Lonchura striata: one gene and its partner. The protein of the gene in region 2 interacts with the protein of the main gene of each other region in a pairwise test. Links are inferred from orthologs where the notes say so. Each region holds a gene or a part of one and is shown on either strand. Other genes may lie near its edges.

Evidence for each region.
Region 1: the proteins of AP1M1 (region 2) and MTF1 interact in binary tests that used the Homo sapiens proteins (3 or more experiments, as listed by UniProt). The two-hybrid records come from large-scale screens. The link is inferred for Lonchura striata from reciprocal best matches to the Homo sapiens genes AP1M1 and MTF1.

Annotation. Positions count from the first base shown.
Region 1 is NC_134628.1:4,784,052-4,791,747, forward strand, and holds the start of MTF1 (metal regulatory transcription factor 1), read right to left. Parts: upstream 3,025-7,696; 5' UTR 2,919-3,024; intron 2,654-2,918; 5' UTR 2,615-2,653; coding exon 2,201-2,614; intron 1-2,200. Other genes in the region: INPP5B (type II inositol 1,4,5-trisphosphate 5-phosphatase), read right to left, coding at 3,776-3,900, 4,771-4,882, 5,168-5,295, 5,628-5,712, 6,029-6,142, 6,333-6,568, 6,720-6,882, 7,495-7,605. UniProt on the Homo sapiens protein: Zinc-dependent transcriptional regulator of cellular adaption to conditions of exposure to heavy metals. Binds to metal responsive elements (MRE) in promoters and activates the transcription of metallothionein genes like metallothionein-2/MT2A.
Region 2 is NC_134630.1:4,653,027-4,660,975, reverse strand, and holds the start of AP1M1 (AP-1 complex subunit mu-1), read left to right. Parts: upstream 1-4,921; 5' UTR 4,922-4,959; coding exon 4,960-5,001; intron 5,002-6,142; coding exon 6,143-6,299; intron 6,300-6,677; coding exon 6,678-6,745; intron 6,746-7,245; coding exon 7,246-7,376; intron 7,377-7,514; coding exon 7,515-7,662; intron 7,663-7,949. Other genes in the region: CIB3 (calcium and integrin-binding family member 3), read right to left, coding at 407-441, 758-808; protein FAM32A, read left to right, coding at 3,225-3,301, 3,425-3,563, 3,657-3,710, 3,866-3,934. UniProt on the Homo sapiens protein: Subunit of clathrin-associated adaptor protein complex 1 that plays a role in protein sorting in the trans-Golgi network (TGN) and endosomes.

The DNA of each region.
Region 1 (7,696 bases), on a different chromosome or scaffold from region 2:
ACAAACCTTTCTGTGAAGCACCACAGCATTTAATTCTCTTTTCACATTAGCACACTGTTCATACACACAGAACCAGCAGAGATTTGATTTGATTTGTCCCTGAAAGCCTCGCAGGGACAGCAGCAAGAGCTCCAGGCTGCCACAGCACCAGGGCACAAGAGGAAACAAAAAAGGCAGCAGAGGCCAAGCCCTGGCAGGCAGGACAGGGCCCAGGGACTTTGAGGCCAAACACTCTGGCTTTTGGCCAGGGACACTGAGGTGCTGCTGGAAGAGACGTGATCCAGCATTTACCTCAGAAATGGGAACTCGTTGTGCAATATCCAGCAGGGCTGGAGAAAGCAGAGCCTCACACCCTGGTTCAAAGTCTACAGTAACTGCTCTGTTTGCCTTTAACTCTTCCTGGGCTTACCACATTCCCCCTAAATGGCTGCATTTTCTGTGTCATCCCTGAACAAACAACTGGATTTGAAATATGAAACTGCAATCGTGTTTGTTCTTACCAACACAAGTACAGTGAGATTTATAACAGAATAATAATTAAAAAAAAGCCAAAGGTGCTAAAGTGCAAAATCCCCTTTTTAGCTTCATAAATGTCGAAGGCTGACTTGAAATTCTAAGGCTTTAAAACAATTATCTCAAGTGTTAAAAATGTTGCAAGCATTTTGCAAGTACCAAAGAACAGAGCTGCTGATTTTCAGAGCTGACCCAGATGCTTGGGAGCTTTAGAGCTTTCCTTTCCTCACCTCCAGACAATTCAGCACACCTTTGAAACAGCAGGCAAAAAGGCCTTTCACACGTGCTCAGGGCTCAGTGCTTTCACATTATGGTATCACTGCTCTCTGTTCTGGGAAATTAATTCCAGAAATGGAAAATAAATTCATATGAAGCATTTCACTAGGAAATTCCACACCCTACAAGCCTTCTATAAGAAGCAAGGGTGAAAAAATGAAGTCAGTTTAATTGCACATGCAGCCACGGACCCTGTTCAGCTCCCACCCCCTGCTCTGGGAGCAGCTCAGGGTCCCACAGGGAGGAGAGCAAGTGAAACACTTCAGCAGCTGCTGAGTGGCAGCAGGAGGCTCAAACAGGCTCCCTGAACACACCTCAGCCCAGGAGCTCCCCAGCTGCAGAGCTGAGCCACCCCCAGCCCCATTTCCAGCACTCAGCCACCAGGGTGACAGCTCTGTGCTGATGAACAGGACCCAGTGTCACAGCCTGTGCCACTGGCACTGCCACCTGCACTCATCACCCCTCACATGCCTCAGGCAGGCCAAATGAGGAGCACCAACCTGTCCCCGAGCTGGTGTCACAGCCAAATTCCCCTTGCTCTTGCACCCAAACAGCAGAGCCCAGCCCCACAGTGCATCCAGACAGAATTCATCAGGGAATCAAAATTAAGAGTAAACTCCATTTTAACCATGCAGCCTGGCCTGAGCTTTCAAAACACATCAGATGGCACTTTAAAGCAGCTGCTTTAACTTTAACTTTTCTTCTCACAGGCTCCCTGTGACACAATAAAACTACAAATCACTTAAAATTTGGCATCTCACGTTCGGTACTCCAGCTCCCAGCAATGGCCTGGCCCTTAACTGTGACCTGAATGTGCCTTTTTTGAGAATGTGGCCAAACCCAGAGCAACAGCTCAGGTTGTTTCAGCTGCCTCTGACTCACTAAATAATGACCTGAGCAGAAGAAAACCTGAAGATCAGTAAAACTACACACAAGCATGTGCCAGTGCCACACCCTCCTGCCATCCAGTGCCACCAAGTGCCTTCTGGCAGCTTCCTAGGGCAGCAGGTGGTGTCAGAGGGAAGAGGGATGGCCCTGGCAGCTCTGCTGGGACACGGTTCTCCCCTGCACACTGCAAAGCTGGGGCTGGCAACCAGAGCAGCTTTATGCTCCAGTACACAAAACTCCTCAAAAACGAGCAAAACCACTGCTCCCTCCTGAAAAAACAGCAAAACCACTGCCACTTTCCTGGAAAAAAAAACAGCAAAAGTGCTGCCCCTCTCCTGAGAAACAGCAAAACTGCTGCTCCTCTCCTGAGAAAAACAACAAAACTGCTGCTCCTCTCCTGAGAAACAGAAAAACTGCTGCCCCTCTCCTGAGAAAGCAACAAAACTGCTGCTCCCTCCTGAAAACCAGTCCATTTTCAAAGCCCTGAAGGTGCACAAAGCCCAGAATCAATTGAGCCACTCACCTCCTTCCGCTTGGTTTTTGGGCACTCCGACTGCAAGGTGAGAGTTGCTCCTTCAATATTCCTTGGCATGGGAGTTGAACCAGGATTTATCGTTAGATGAATCTGATCTGGAGAAATAATATGTTGCACATAACCCTGTGACATCCCTTCATGATCTGGTATTAAATGGAATCCTTCTTCGTGACCCTCGGGTAAAAAAGGCAAGTGGTCACCGCACTGTCCTTCATCCTCCTCATCCTCCAGCACACTGTGGTCCTGCTCGATAAGCACAGTTGTCCTGTCGTATACCGTCCCGGACGAGGAGGACACCAGCCCGTTTTTGTCGGCAAACCTCATCATATTTTCATCTTGGGCTAAGTCTTCTTCCTCCGCCTCACAGCACACGGCGTTGCCTTCGGGGCTGTTCTCACCCATGGCTCCGCGCTACCGGCAGCTCCCACCGGAACGGCTCATCTGCAACGCAACGAGAGGCGGACGGGGGTCAGGCGGCTCGGCAGGGCCCCGTTCCGCCCGCAGGCACAACCCCGGGGCGGCCGGTGGCGGCGGGGCCGAGCCGGGCCGAGCGCCGCGGTCCCGCCCTGAGCGCGGCGCTACCCCCACCCGGCCCGCTGCCGCCAACAGCCACTCCCGCTGCCCGCGCCAACCGCGCTGCTCCGTGCTCGGCTCGCTCGGCTCGCTCAGCCCTCCCTCCGTCCCTGCCTCCCCCTGCCCCGCTCACCGGGTGCCGGCGGCTCCTTCCCCGCCCCAGCGGCACCATGATCGCCGCGACCGCGCTTCCGCTTCCGGCCGCGCGCCGCACGCCGGGAGCGCCGCGCCCGCCGCGGGGGCCGACGGGAAGGGGGAGGGCGGGCGGGAGGAGCGCAGCGCCCCCTAGCGGCCGCGCGCCCCTCACGGCCCTCAGCCACCGCGGAAAGATGTTTTTATTTAAATAGCAGCGGCTTAAAAACTCGCCTCGTTTTAACAAGTTAAATAAAGTACAGCGAACATATCAGCTCTCTTTTTTTTTAACTAGTCTACATACAGCTTATTGATAAATTTGATGTACTTTGCGGCGTAATCAGGTGTCAAACTGCCTGATCTCCACCTTCGAAAGCAATAGATTGTATAAAACACTGTGATAGCAAAAAAGTGCCAGTATAATGTCCTCGTTTTAATAAATAAAATACAGTGAACATATCAGCACTCTTTTTTTTAAAATTCATCTATGTACAGCTTATTGGGAAATTTGATGTACTTGACAGCGTAATCAGGTGTCAAACTGCCTGATCTCTGCCTTCGAAAGCAAGATTGTATAAAACACCATCATATCAAAAAAAGTGCCAGTATAATGTTAAATAAAATACAGTGTACATATCAGCTCTCTTTTTTTAAACTCATCTATGTACAGCTTATTGGGAAACTTGATGTACTTTGCAGCTTAATCAGGTGTCAAACTGCCTGATCTCCGCTTTCAAAAGCAACAGATTGTATAAAACACCGCCATATCAAAAAAAGTGCCAGTATAATATACAAAAAAAATATATATTTTTTTACAGCAATTCAATGTCTACAAGTGAGATTAACCGCATCTGAGGTTCATGATAAATGATCTTCTCTGACGAGGAACTGGTGGATAAACTGCTGCGCTTTCCTCTTGGCAGCGATGTCAGGCGTGGCGTGGCCGGGGGGCGGCCGCAGCAACAAACCCCCGAACACGCTGGCTGCAGGGAAAGCACACGGACACACGGTGAGAGCAGCAATCGAGGCACCCTGTGGGAACCCAGCACATCCCTCTGGCTGCCCCGGCTGGCCCAGACCCTGGCAGGGGGCTCAAAGACCTTGGCACAAAGTCAAAAACACCTGTGAGTTCGATTTTAGCCAGTGGAAAAAGCTGCCAGTTCTGTATGAGGAATTACAAGCCACAAGGGTTTGAGTAGTGTGGTAGTTGAGTTAACACAGGGTGGAAAAGTAGAAATTTGGGGTTTTTAGACTAGGATTCAGGGGGATTTGGGCATATCCTAGCCTTCTTCTCCTTCTTCTTGCTCTCCATGTCTTGGTGTGATGGTGACACTTTGCTATTGGTTTAAGGTAGAGACAAACTGTCTAATGTAAGTGATAGGTATTGGCAGGTTATTGTAAACACAGTACACGTAGTTTTTGGTATAAAATGTAAACACCACCCTGAGGGCACACAGAATGCCATGGCCGACTTGTTAGAGCTCAGCAGGTCAGAGAAAGAATGTTATATATAAGGAAAAATAAACAACCTTGAGAAGCTGACTCTATGCATTCAGGCTCCTTCTTTGGCTGCACAGGTTGGGAAATGAGGACTTTTACACTCTTGGGGTCATCCCATCACCCAGACCCTGAGAGACCCCAGGGAGGAGAGCCTGGCTTTGGTGTGAGGCAAGATAAAGCTGATAGTCCCCACATCTCTGGGCTGCTTTCCCAGACTCCTGTTTTTCTATGGGCTATTTGTTTCTAATAAAAGGTTCAAAGCACTACAAGCCACCACTGCACTGGGGTATGAAGTGTTTTGTTGCCCTACCTGTGCAGCCCCTCTGAACAGAGCGTTATTTTGCTGGCCTTACCAAGAATATTCACATCCAAATGGTTCTTCCCTGAGTTCTTCAGTAGCTCTCGTAGAAATGCCATCAGATATTCGAACACATTTTTATGGCATGCTGGTAGGGCAGAGATAATCTGAGAAAGGAAAAACACCAACATTCACACTGCAGACACAGCAATGCCTTCCAGCTGCGCCTGCCCCCAAAACCCCCCACTCTGCAGGTGCCAACAGCTCTTTACACCCTAAAAGCACCAGTTCCAGATCATTTCTATTAAGAGAGGATTACTGAGAGCAAAACTGGGTGATGGGTGTAGCAGGGGCCAGTTTCCCTGCCCTCCCTGTGGAACTGGTCTAGCAGAGGCCAGTTTCCCTGCCCTCCCTGTGGCACTGGAGCTGGTCCCTCGGGCAGCCAGCAGTACCTGACAGCTCAGCCCGTAGTTGCTGGCACTCTCCAGACAGGAGCTATAGAACCTGCAGCAGATGACAGGCTCAGGAAGGCTCTCCAGGAACAGCAGCAGGGCCTCTGCCACTGAGTGGTTGCTGCCCACTGATCCACTGGTTAAGGAAGAGCACAGCACGACCTAGGGTGCTCCTATTTCTGCTGAAACATGAATGAATTTTGGGTTAGGTGTCCCAGAACTGTGCCTACAGCTCACAGCTTTGGGTTAATCCCCTGGCCTCCACACGAGCTGCTGCTGTTAGCAGCTGGGCACTTGTGTCATTCATTGACATCGCCAGGACTCAGCAGAGGATGACACAGAGCCACGAGGAAATGTAGAGCTCAGGTACCCCAGGAGGAGAGACAGAAGCTTAAAAACCTCTCAGAGTTTTGGCACTCTGGCATAGTGAGCCTTCCTTGACACCAGTCTGAAAGGATACAGAAAGTATCGTACATTCCCTTGTCCAAACAGTCTCGGATTTGCTCAAATTCAGATCTGAGGCCTGGCTGCTGAAACAAGTCCTCCTGCAAAGACAACCCTTTATCAGTACAAGGAAAATAGAACAATTGTGGGTAAATAGAGCAATGTTCCTATAATCTGCCTGGGAAGTCTCTCCAAATTGGTGGTTGTCACCCAAGTCTGCTTGATAGCCGGACACTGCTGGTACCTGGGCACACAGACACGGTCACTAGCACCAAACAGTACAACCTGGGGCATCAGGACCACTTATCTCCATGGCCTTTGGCCAAACACACCCAGCTCGTGGTGACTGCTATTACCAGTATCTTCTTCCAAACTTAACCCAATGCAAACATCTCGTTTTGTGTTTCCAGTGCCAACCTGCTGGGAAGCGTTGCGATTCAAGTGATCCACCATCATCCACAGCTCTTTTGGGATGTCCATAGGCTTTTCCTCTTGGGCAGGATCATCACTCATGTCTACTGGCATCAGGGTCTGAGGGAGGGCAGTGTGGGCAGGAGAGAGACAAACAAAAGGTAGCTAGCCAAGTTCTTATTCAACTTGGCAAAAATACTTCACAAAGCTTATACCTGAGAATTGAGACTTCTTAATAAAAACATACAGGCCTTAGCACCTAGTTTTATTGCTCTTGTGTGTTTGGAAGGGAATCTTGTCTTTAACTCACAAGTCTCCGAATGGATTCTGCTGACATGTCCTGGATTGGTTCCCTCATGTAACACAGTGTATGGATGGGAGACCCAAAGCAACTTGGCAAATAGTTGCCTGTTATGGATAGAAAATAATCCTTCCCATTGACAAGATGCAAGACTAAGATATCTTCAAGTTTTTCCTCTCCAGAGTTTAAGCGAGTAGCTGTTGATTTATTAACAAACACCTCCAGCTCAACTGTGATCTCAGCATCTGCCAGAAGATGATAAAAAACCCACACTCAGTTACAATCAGCATTAAACCAACAGCCTGCAAACAGGCACAGCACTCTCAGAAGTGCAGAGGGAACTAAGCCAGAAGGGGATAATATCAGCAGTAGCACGAGACAAAAGGAGGAGCTCACCTGAGAGCAAGAAGCCCTTACTGGGATTAGCAGTCAGCCACTCCTTGCAGTAGGTTTCCTCATCTGGTTTGCTGATAAATTGGAACTGGCAGGGCACTTGGCCATTGCGGATTGTAAACCTCTCTACCTGCAGCTGCATGTATTTAACATCCTCAAAATGGATCTAGGAACAAATGTCAGTCAACATCATCAGCCGATTCCATCTCCTGTGGTTTAATTTTTAAACAGCAAGACAACTGGATTAACCCCTTGCTGCCACCCCCCTCTCCTCCAGGAGTGCATAGGATCACATGTGCATACTCTGAATGCCAAAGTCCCTTCTGTCAGGGGGCCCTTTAAAACAAATGCTGCCCTCAAATAACTACAATAAAATTGAGAATGAGATAGCTGTGGCCTCAAATGTCTCCTGGGCTTATCTTTATAGTCCCAACACACAAAGCAAATGCTGGTTTGTGACCTTCTCCAGACCCTTACAATTTTACATTTTATGTTTGAAAGCACAAGTCAGAGCAAGGGTCACAAACCACCTTTTTACTTTCTCTCTTCCCACTTCATGGAATTGCACATCTTGTGTTTCAGCCTTGGACTGTGAATGGAATTCACCAACATCTAAATATGAGCAAAGATTCCTAGGGCTTGTAAACACAGAGCAACTGGAAGTCAAAATATTCTACTTTTTGTAACCAGACCCAAGGGTCTAGGATCCATCTTGTGCTGCTGGGCCCTAGGGTTGCTCAGTTCCTTCAGGGAGTGCTGGCACATGCCCATGCCCTACCTCTCTGCGGGACAGTGTCACTGAGGGAATGTTGGCATTCTCCAGCTTATCCAGGGAGCGCACTATTTCCTCAAAGGCTTTTCGGTAGAGCTCTTCATTCACAACCTTCACCTGAAAAGGACACACACTGCACCAGCTAGCACTGACTGTGCCTCTGCAGGACAGCTGGAACACAGCTCCAAACATGTCATTTGATTTTAGC
Region 2 (7,949 bases):
GTGTAATCATTTACAAGAAAACATGAAGAAAACTTGACACAATCATTAAAGTTTTCATAAACCAGCAAAGTATTCCAGAGAATAACAGCACACTTTGAAGCATCTGTCGGAAAACCACGTGAAAAAAATATGGATGTCGCTGCCACTAAGATGTAATTAATTGTATTTATTTCTAATAAACAGAGGGACTAGTACGTTAATACAAAATTTAGAATTCTGACTCAGTTAAGGATAGGGTTTGTAAATTTAAAAAAAGCCAACAAAAATGTTCAGATTGCCCCAAAGTATCACTTTAAATTTTAGTAAATCCATTTAAAAATTATTTTTTAAATACCTTACTCCATATGTAACCTGCCTTTACAGCAATCTCTGCCCTTTATTCACAACATGCATACAGAAGACTCACCTGAGAATTTCTTTCCTTGTGAAAAATGTGCAGTCCTATGAAGTAAGAAAAGGTATAACACAAAATGACAGTTTTTAGCATGCATCGACCCAAACTTTTCCCATGCAGTGACTTAAATGAATTTATACTATAGTGTACATGTAAGCATTTAAAAATTCTTAATGGCATACATTTAGGCATATTTTATAATCTTTCCTTTTGATATAAAAAACAAACTATGTTACTAAAATCTTTGCTGCAATTCAGTATGTCTACTTATTAATTTTTAAAAGATGATGTTTTTAAAAACCCAACAATACCTTTGCCATTATTCAATGCCCTGTCCAAAGAGCCATTTAGTTTGCTTTATACCTGATATGCATCCAGTTGCTCCTGAGTGAAAATGGTTTGCTTGTTGCCCATTTTGAGCAGGGAATACTGACTCCTGTCAGTTCTTTCCTCAAAGGCACCTTTATAGGTCCTCTGGATATTCAGTTATTAAAAGCTGCAACAATGAGGCTCAGGTACAGCAGAGGATCAGGTAACCAACTTGTACAGGCTGCAAAGTATCATAATAGGAGCATTTCATCAAATCTTTAGTCTAGCTGCTTGAGGCTCTTATCCAGCAGCATTCACCCGTCTCCTGTGTGCACCACGAAGACTCGGGTTACAGGATTTAGCCAAATAAGTAATAGCTGCTCATTAGTGCCCTTCAGTTGCAAGAAGACCCAGTGGACCCTGCTTTTTCATGCCTTCAGATATGGTGAATAAACTGAAAAGTGTTAGCAGCATTTTCCTCCTTTAAAATTTAACACCAAATGATGGAAATTTGGTAGCCCCTCCTCCTTTCCTTCTCATATTTTATAGGGTCAGAATTATAAAAGCCCTTGGAAAAGCCCTTTTAGATCATTAATGCAGCACTGCCAAGATCACCAATATTCCATGTCCTCAGGTGCCACATCCACATGTTTTTTTGAACACTTCCAGGGATGGTGACTTCACCACTGTCCTGGGCAGCCTGTGCCAGTATTTTCCTTTAATGCACATTGTTAAAATACACTAATGCTGGTGGTAGCTTGTACTGGAGGTAGTAACCATAAATTCCGCTCACTCCCTTCCTTCTGCATCATCTGCTGACGTATCTTACTACTAATTAATGGTGATTAGCATGACATCCATCCATACTGATTCATACACGGCCTTTGCACTGAAAAGATGTGTGAGTGTATAGTTCATACCTGTGAACAGAAATGTGATGCTATGAAAGATGAAAAACAAGGGGAAAAAAGGAGGAACTGGAACAGGCTGCTTTTTCATGGAGCTGTAAAGTTTCTATTTCTGGGTCACTGGTTCCCTCTGACTGGTGGAAGATCTCTTCCTGGGGCAGGCTTGCTCCTCAGGGTATCTTCCCATAGCAAAAACGATCTGGAATGGTTCTGTTCAGAGTGCAACAAGAAGTGTGGGGAGGGATGGGGCTGGTCCCTCCTGGTGTAGCCTAGATCTCCAGGTGTTCTCCTCAAGGCAATTCCATCCTGTTGTCCTCAAAATCAGATTTATTATGTGATGTGCAACAAGCCAATAATTACACAGTTGAGAGAGATATTATTTGCACAAGCCTGGATGCTTGGTGGGTTTCCACAAATCCAACACACCCCACTGGACTTTCCACGCCATTATTTACAGAAGTTCATCGTCTTTTTCCAAGGTCAGCCTCTCTATTAAGATTATTTAGTAATTTCCATACAAGTTAGACAATCCCCAGCTAACTTCTCCACATGCAATGGGGAAGGGTCTGCACCTGGGCAAGGTCTTTTTGACCCTTAGGCATGATCTTAAGTATTATAATGAAGATAGTTCAGCTAGTTCAGCTGTAGGATATACAGACCTTGAATCCTTTGCCAAATTATCAATGTATACACACACATACATCAACATTTTGATTTACTACATCCCTAAAGCTTGTTAATTCCCATATGTTGTTGACTAAGGGCTGCTAGCTGCTGTCTTCCCATTCATTACATCTCCTTTCTTGCTGAATAGGTTTGAAAGTATAGAAAGAGTTTACATCAAAAAAAAATTCTATTTTTAAATAATCTTGATATATTCCATATTTTGCAAGTCCTGCTTCGGTTCCCCTCACAGAGATACCCCCGGACTGGGCTCACTGCCCGCTCCCCTCACGGAGGTACTAAGGCGGCTCAATGTCCGCTTCGGTTCCCCTCACGGAGGGGCGGGCGGGGCTCGTTACCGGTTCCCCTCACGGAGGTGCTAAGGCAGCTCATGGCAGTCCCGGTTCCCCTCACGGAGAAACCGTGCAGGGGTCGTCCCCGGTCCCCCTCACGAAGATGCAAGGCAGCTCATGGCAGTCCCGGTTCCCCTCACGGAGAAGCCGGGCGGGCTCGTTCCCGGCTCCCCTCACGGAGAGGCCGGTCCCCTCACGAAGATGCAAGGCGGCTTTATGGCCGTCCCGGTTCCCCTCACTGAGAGGCCGGTCCCCTCACGGAGGTGCAAGGCACCTCATGGCCGCTTCGGTTCCCCTCACGGACGGGCCGGTTCCCTCACGGAGAAGCCGGGCGGGGCTCGTTCCCGATTCCCCTCACGGAGAAGGCGGGCGGGCTCGTTCCCGGTTCCCCTCACGGAGAAGCCGGGCGGGCTCGTTCCCGGTCCCCCTCACGGAGAAGCCGGGCGGGCTCGTTCCCGGTTTCCCTCACGGAGAAGCCGGGCGGGCTCGTTCCCGGTCCCCTCACGGAGAAGCCGGGCGGGGCTCGCGCGCGGCTCCCGGCGCCGGCCGTGCCGTTGCGGCGGTGCCGGCAGGGGGCGCGGGCGCGGCCGTTCCGCCATGGCGGACTACGAGGCAGTGCAGCGCGGTCCGCTGCGGCTGAAGGGCAGCGGCGGGGCCCTGGGGGCCGGCAAGCGGTGAGGGGGGAGCCGGGGGGAACCGGGGGAGAACGGGGAGCGGTGAGGAGGGGTCGGGAGAACCGTGAGCGAGGAGGGGACACACAGCGCCGGGGCTGAGCTCTGACCGGGCGCTTCCCGCAGGAAGAAGAAGAAGGCGAAAGACAAGGCCCAGATGCTGGAGCAGATCGTGAGCAGCAAGAAGCAGGAGGAGGAGAAGAAGCGCGGGCTGGACAAGCGGACCCCGGCGCAGGTGGCCTACGAGAAGATGCAGGAGAAGCGGGTAAGGGTTTAAAAGCCGCTGTCACCCCTGGGGTGCGGCCGCTGAGGGGGCTGCGAGTGCCGGGAGTAACCGGCCTTAATGTGTCTCCTACAGCAAATGGAACGGATCCTGAAGAAAGCGTCGAAAACCCACAAGCAGCGAGTGGAGGTGAGCAAAACCATCCCGAGTCCATCAGGCCAGCGTGTTTTGTTGGGCTGAAGGAACTGTTCCGCCTTGTGAAACACAAGCCGGGACGCAGGGGGGGCTTGTGGTTCAACTTGGTGATGTCAGCACCCTGTTTTCTTTCTCTTTGCCTCCCCCAGGACTTCAACAGGCACTTGGATACTCTGACTGAGCATTACGACATTCCCAAAGTCAGCTGGACTAAATGACCGGGCTGCTTTTCACGGCTCTGGAGCTGGAGTTGTGTTTTGTTTGTATCAAGCAGGGTTGCCATGTAAATCTGTCTTTTCTCTATATTGTCTAATACATCTTCTGAGCTTTTATGACTTCATACTGTCTTATTTTATAGACTTGTTATTTAAAACCAATCATCCAGCAATGTCTCCTGTGGGCTGAGGAGCTCTGGTTTACATCGATGGAGAGGGCTGTTTTTTTTTAGTGTTTATAGTGAGATTAAGGCCAGAACGAATTGCTGTGAGCCAGATGGAAAACATTCCTTTTATTTTGTTAGTTCTAACAGTACTCCTTTTTTCAAGTGGAGTCTGACAGTCTCATTAAGTTTCTCTTGTAAGTTATGTGAATTGTATAATTACTTTCTATCAAGTTCTGTCAGAGGCCATGTTGCAAAACATGAAATATGTAAAATTGTTTTAGGAAAGGATATTCTTTGGTATTTGATCTTTGTATACTTTCAAGCCTAACCAGCAAGAAGGGAGGTTTAATCCATAAAATAGAGAGCAGCCAACAAGCTCTGAGTGATGTCCAAGTTTTGATAGCTGGATTTCTGGGATCCCACCGAGCATCGAGGCTTGTGCAGCTCTGAAATAAATAATCAGCGTGTCTCTCGAGTGTGTAATTGTGGCAAACAGTTATCATTTCTATCTTGAGTATCAACAGTATCATTTCTGTCTTCCAGAGGGGTCTGCTGCAAGTTGTAAATTCGATGTAATTTATTAAAACGCTGCTTCCACCCCTTTTTTGGGATGGAATGAAATGGGGCGTGTGGAGTTTGATTGTTACCCCCTCTGAGGGATGTATCACGATGTCGGAACTCCCAAACCGGGATGTTCTTAACCCGAATTACGCTCTCCGTGTGTCCGTGCCCAGCTCAGCCCGCGGACCGGCGCGCCGGGACTATTTAACGGCGCTGCCGCGGTGTCCTTCCGCCGCGCCGGCGTCACTTCCTGCGGAAGCGGAAGCGGCAGCGGCGGGCGGGACGGGCCCGGCCGGGGCGATGTCGGCCAGCGCCGTCTATGTGCTGGACCTGAAGGGGAAGGTGAGGCCCGGCGCGGAGCTGCGGGTTCCGCTGCCTTGGGACGGCTGCGGGGCCGCGTTCCGCTCCCCGGGCTGCCGGCCCCCGCTTAGCCCAGCGGGGACGGGGGAGTTGTGGCCTGCAGCCCCTCGCCGGTAAACGGGGACAGGGAGTTGTGGGCAGCCCCTCGCCGGTAAACGGGGACAGGGAGTTGTGGGCAGCCCCTCGCCGGTAGAGATGTTGGGTGAGGCGGCATCCCCGGGGTGATTAATCTCTGTGTTAGCGTTCAGGAGCACACATCATCGCGGGATATGATTATGTGCAGGTGCTTTTATTGAGAGCTTTGGGAATCAGGGGTACAGACCCAAATTGACTCCGACATGGCTTTCGAGCTGAACGTATTTTATATTATTATCGTTATATAACTTACATAAAAACTGGGGATGGGAATGGGGATTGGAAATTTGGAATGGAAAACTGAAACTGGGAGTGGGAAACTGGGAATGGAAAATTAGGAATGGAAATCTGGGAGTGGGCATGAGAATGGGGATGGAAAACTGGGAATGGAAAACTGACAATGGGGATGGGAACTTATTAAATTTATATTGTTCTATTGTATACATTGACAAGAGTTTCTCGTGATCTTCCTTAGGCCCCCTGACCACAGTTTCTCATGATTATTCTTACAATTAAACAGTAATTAATTACTAAGCAATCATCACATCTAACAATTATATCATTTATCATGTACTAGGTACACAGGTGCAGTTCTAGCAAGGTACAAGTCTTCATGTACCTAGGGTATTTAATTTTTTCAGGGCCTACTAAGCTTAATTTTCCTTTTAACCCTAAATCCCCATGATTTTAAAACCCTTTTCTTGTCATCTGCCGGTATCCTAGCTGCTTTGCTCAGAAGAATTGTGCATTTTCCTATCCTAAAACCATTCTTAGAGCCTGAGCAGTAATAGAGGTCTGGAAAATATTAATAGATTTTGCAATTACATGTTGGTGTTTGCAAAGTGTTTCAGCATTGTGATTTGCACTTACAAATGCAGAGAGGCTTGAGGGAAGCTGGATGATTTTAGAGGGGTTTATCCAGCATTTGTGTGGCTTGCATGGTAACGTCCTTGTGAAAGAGAAGAAAGAAGGATTTGGTTGCTTACAGGTTCTGATCTGTCGGAATTACCGTGGAGATGTGGACATGTCAGAGGTGGAACATTTTATGCCAATCCTTATGGAAAAGGAAGAAGAGGGGACGCTTTCTCCTATCTTAGCACATGGAGGAGTTCGTTTCATGTGGATTAAACATAACAACCTGTATCGTATCCTTTGTGCTGCAGATGTGCTGACCTGCCAAGGGTTGCTGCTGTGGTTTTAATGTCAGAATGCAAGTTGAAGTATGGGTGAAGTGGTATAAAGTGGCTATATTCAATAAAGTTGGTCATATTAAATAAGGGGTTTTTTGTGCTTTACATAGTGTCATATATACCAGCAGCATAAAGTCCAGAAAAGTGTTCTAATTTTACTCTAATTAATGTCTTCCTGAATGTTATCTTCATATCTCTTTAGATCATTAGTGCTGTTAAGTAGTTAATGCATAATTCTTCCAGGCAACTCTAAGTGCCTTAAATTAGGCTTTTTAAACTGCATTTAGTAAGTGTTTTTTTTTTTAATGCATATTCCTGAACATCCTTTATCAGTTGTTGCAACTTCTAAGAAAAATGCTTGTGTATCACTGGTGTTTTCATTTTTATATAAAGTAGTTCAGGTGAGTATATTTCAGAAGTAACCTTTATGTTCTGTCTAAATAGAAGGGCATAGAGCTTTCACATTTTTTAAGAACTTCAACAATAGTGTTTTTACTTTATATTTGATTATTTTGTTGAACTATCTTCTTAACCACTAATAAGGGCACTGATATTTTGTAGCTGTGTGGGCAGAGTGCTCTAAGTAGTTACACAAGACCTGAGCACCTGGAGGAGATTGTGAACTGGTGCATGTGTTGTCATGCCTCATACAGATCCTGTGCTTGCTTCATATCCAGAAAGATATTTTTTCATAATAGTTTCTTCTATGATTCTCTGTATCTGTTTTAATTGTGGTGGGTTTCCTGGGGCTGATCTGAGCAGAATGCTGTTTGGGAAGTATGGGGTTGGGGTTGGAACTTTACAGGATTATTATTTTAGATGCAGGAATACCTTCTGTGTGTGCTGTGCTGCCTCAGTTAATGTCCTTCTTCTCCCTCCCCCTCCTCTTGTTGCATTTCAGGTTTTTTCTGAATATTTCAAGGAGTTGGAAGAAGAGAGCATTAGGGATAATTTTGTTATTATTTATGAGTTGTTAGATGAGCTTATGGATTTTGGTTATCCACAAACCACTGATAGTAAAATTTTACAAGAGTAAGTATCACTCAACAGTGACAAAGCCCTTGGAATGTTTTGAGCCTTTTTCCATAGGCAAACAAATGTTTGGGTGTGTTCTAATTATCAAAAGTATTAATTTTATTTTTTTTCTGTGCCAATTTTCTGGTTGTGAAGGTACATCACTCAGGAAGGCCACAAACTTGAAACTGGAGCCCCACGCCCGCCTGCCACTGTTACAAATGCTGTTTCATGGAGATCAGAAGGGATAAAATACAGGAAAAACGAGGTGTTCCTGGATGTCATAGAGTCTGTTAACCTTTTGGTGGGTACCTTGGACTTCAACTTTTATGTAAGAATTGTAGTAAAAAGTGTTAAAAAGGGCTTTTTGTATGCGAACCTGCAACAAAAAGTCTGATTGTGGATGTGTTCTGTGACACTCAAAGCAATGTTATCATTAAGTTCCCATGTAATCATTAATTAAGTAATGTAATAATAATTAAGTAACATAATCATTAAGGAAATCCAGTACAAATAATGCTTTAATTGTGTGTATTGCTGATTTTTGGATATGTCCTTTGATCCTCTATACTGGATTAATTCCTGATAAGA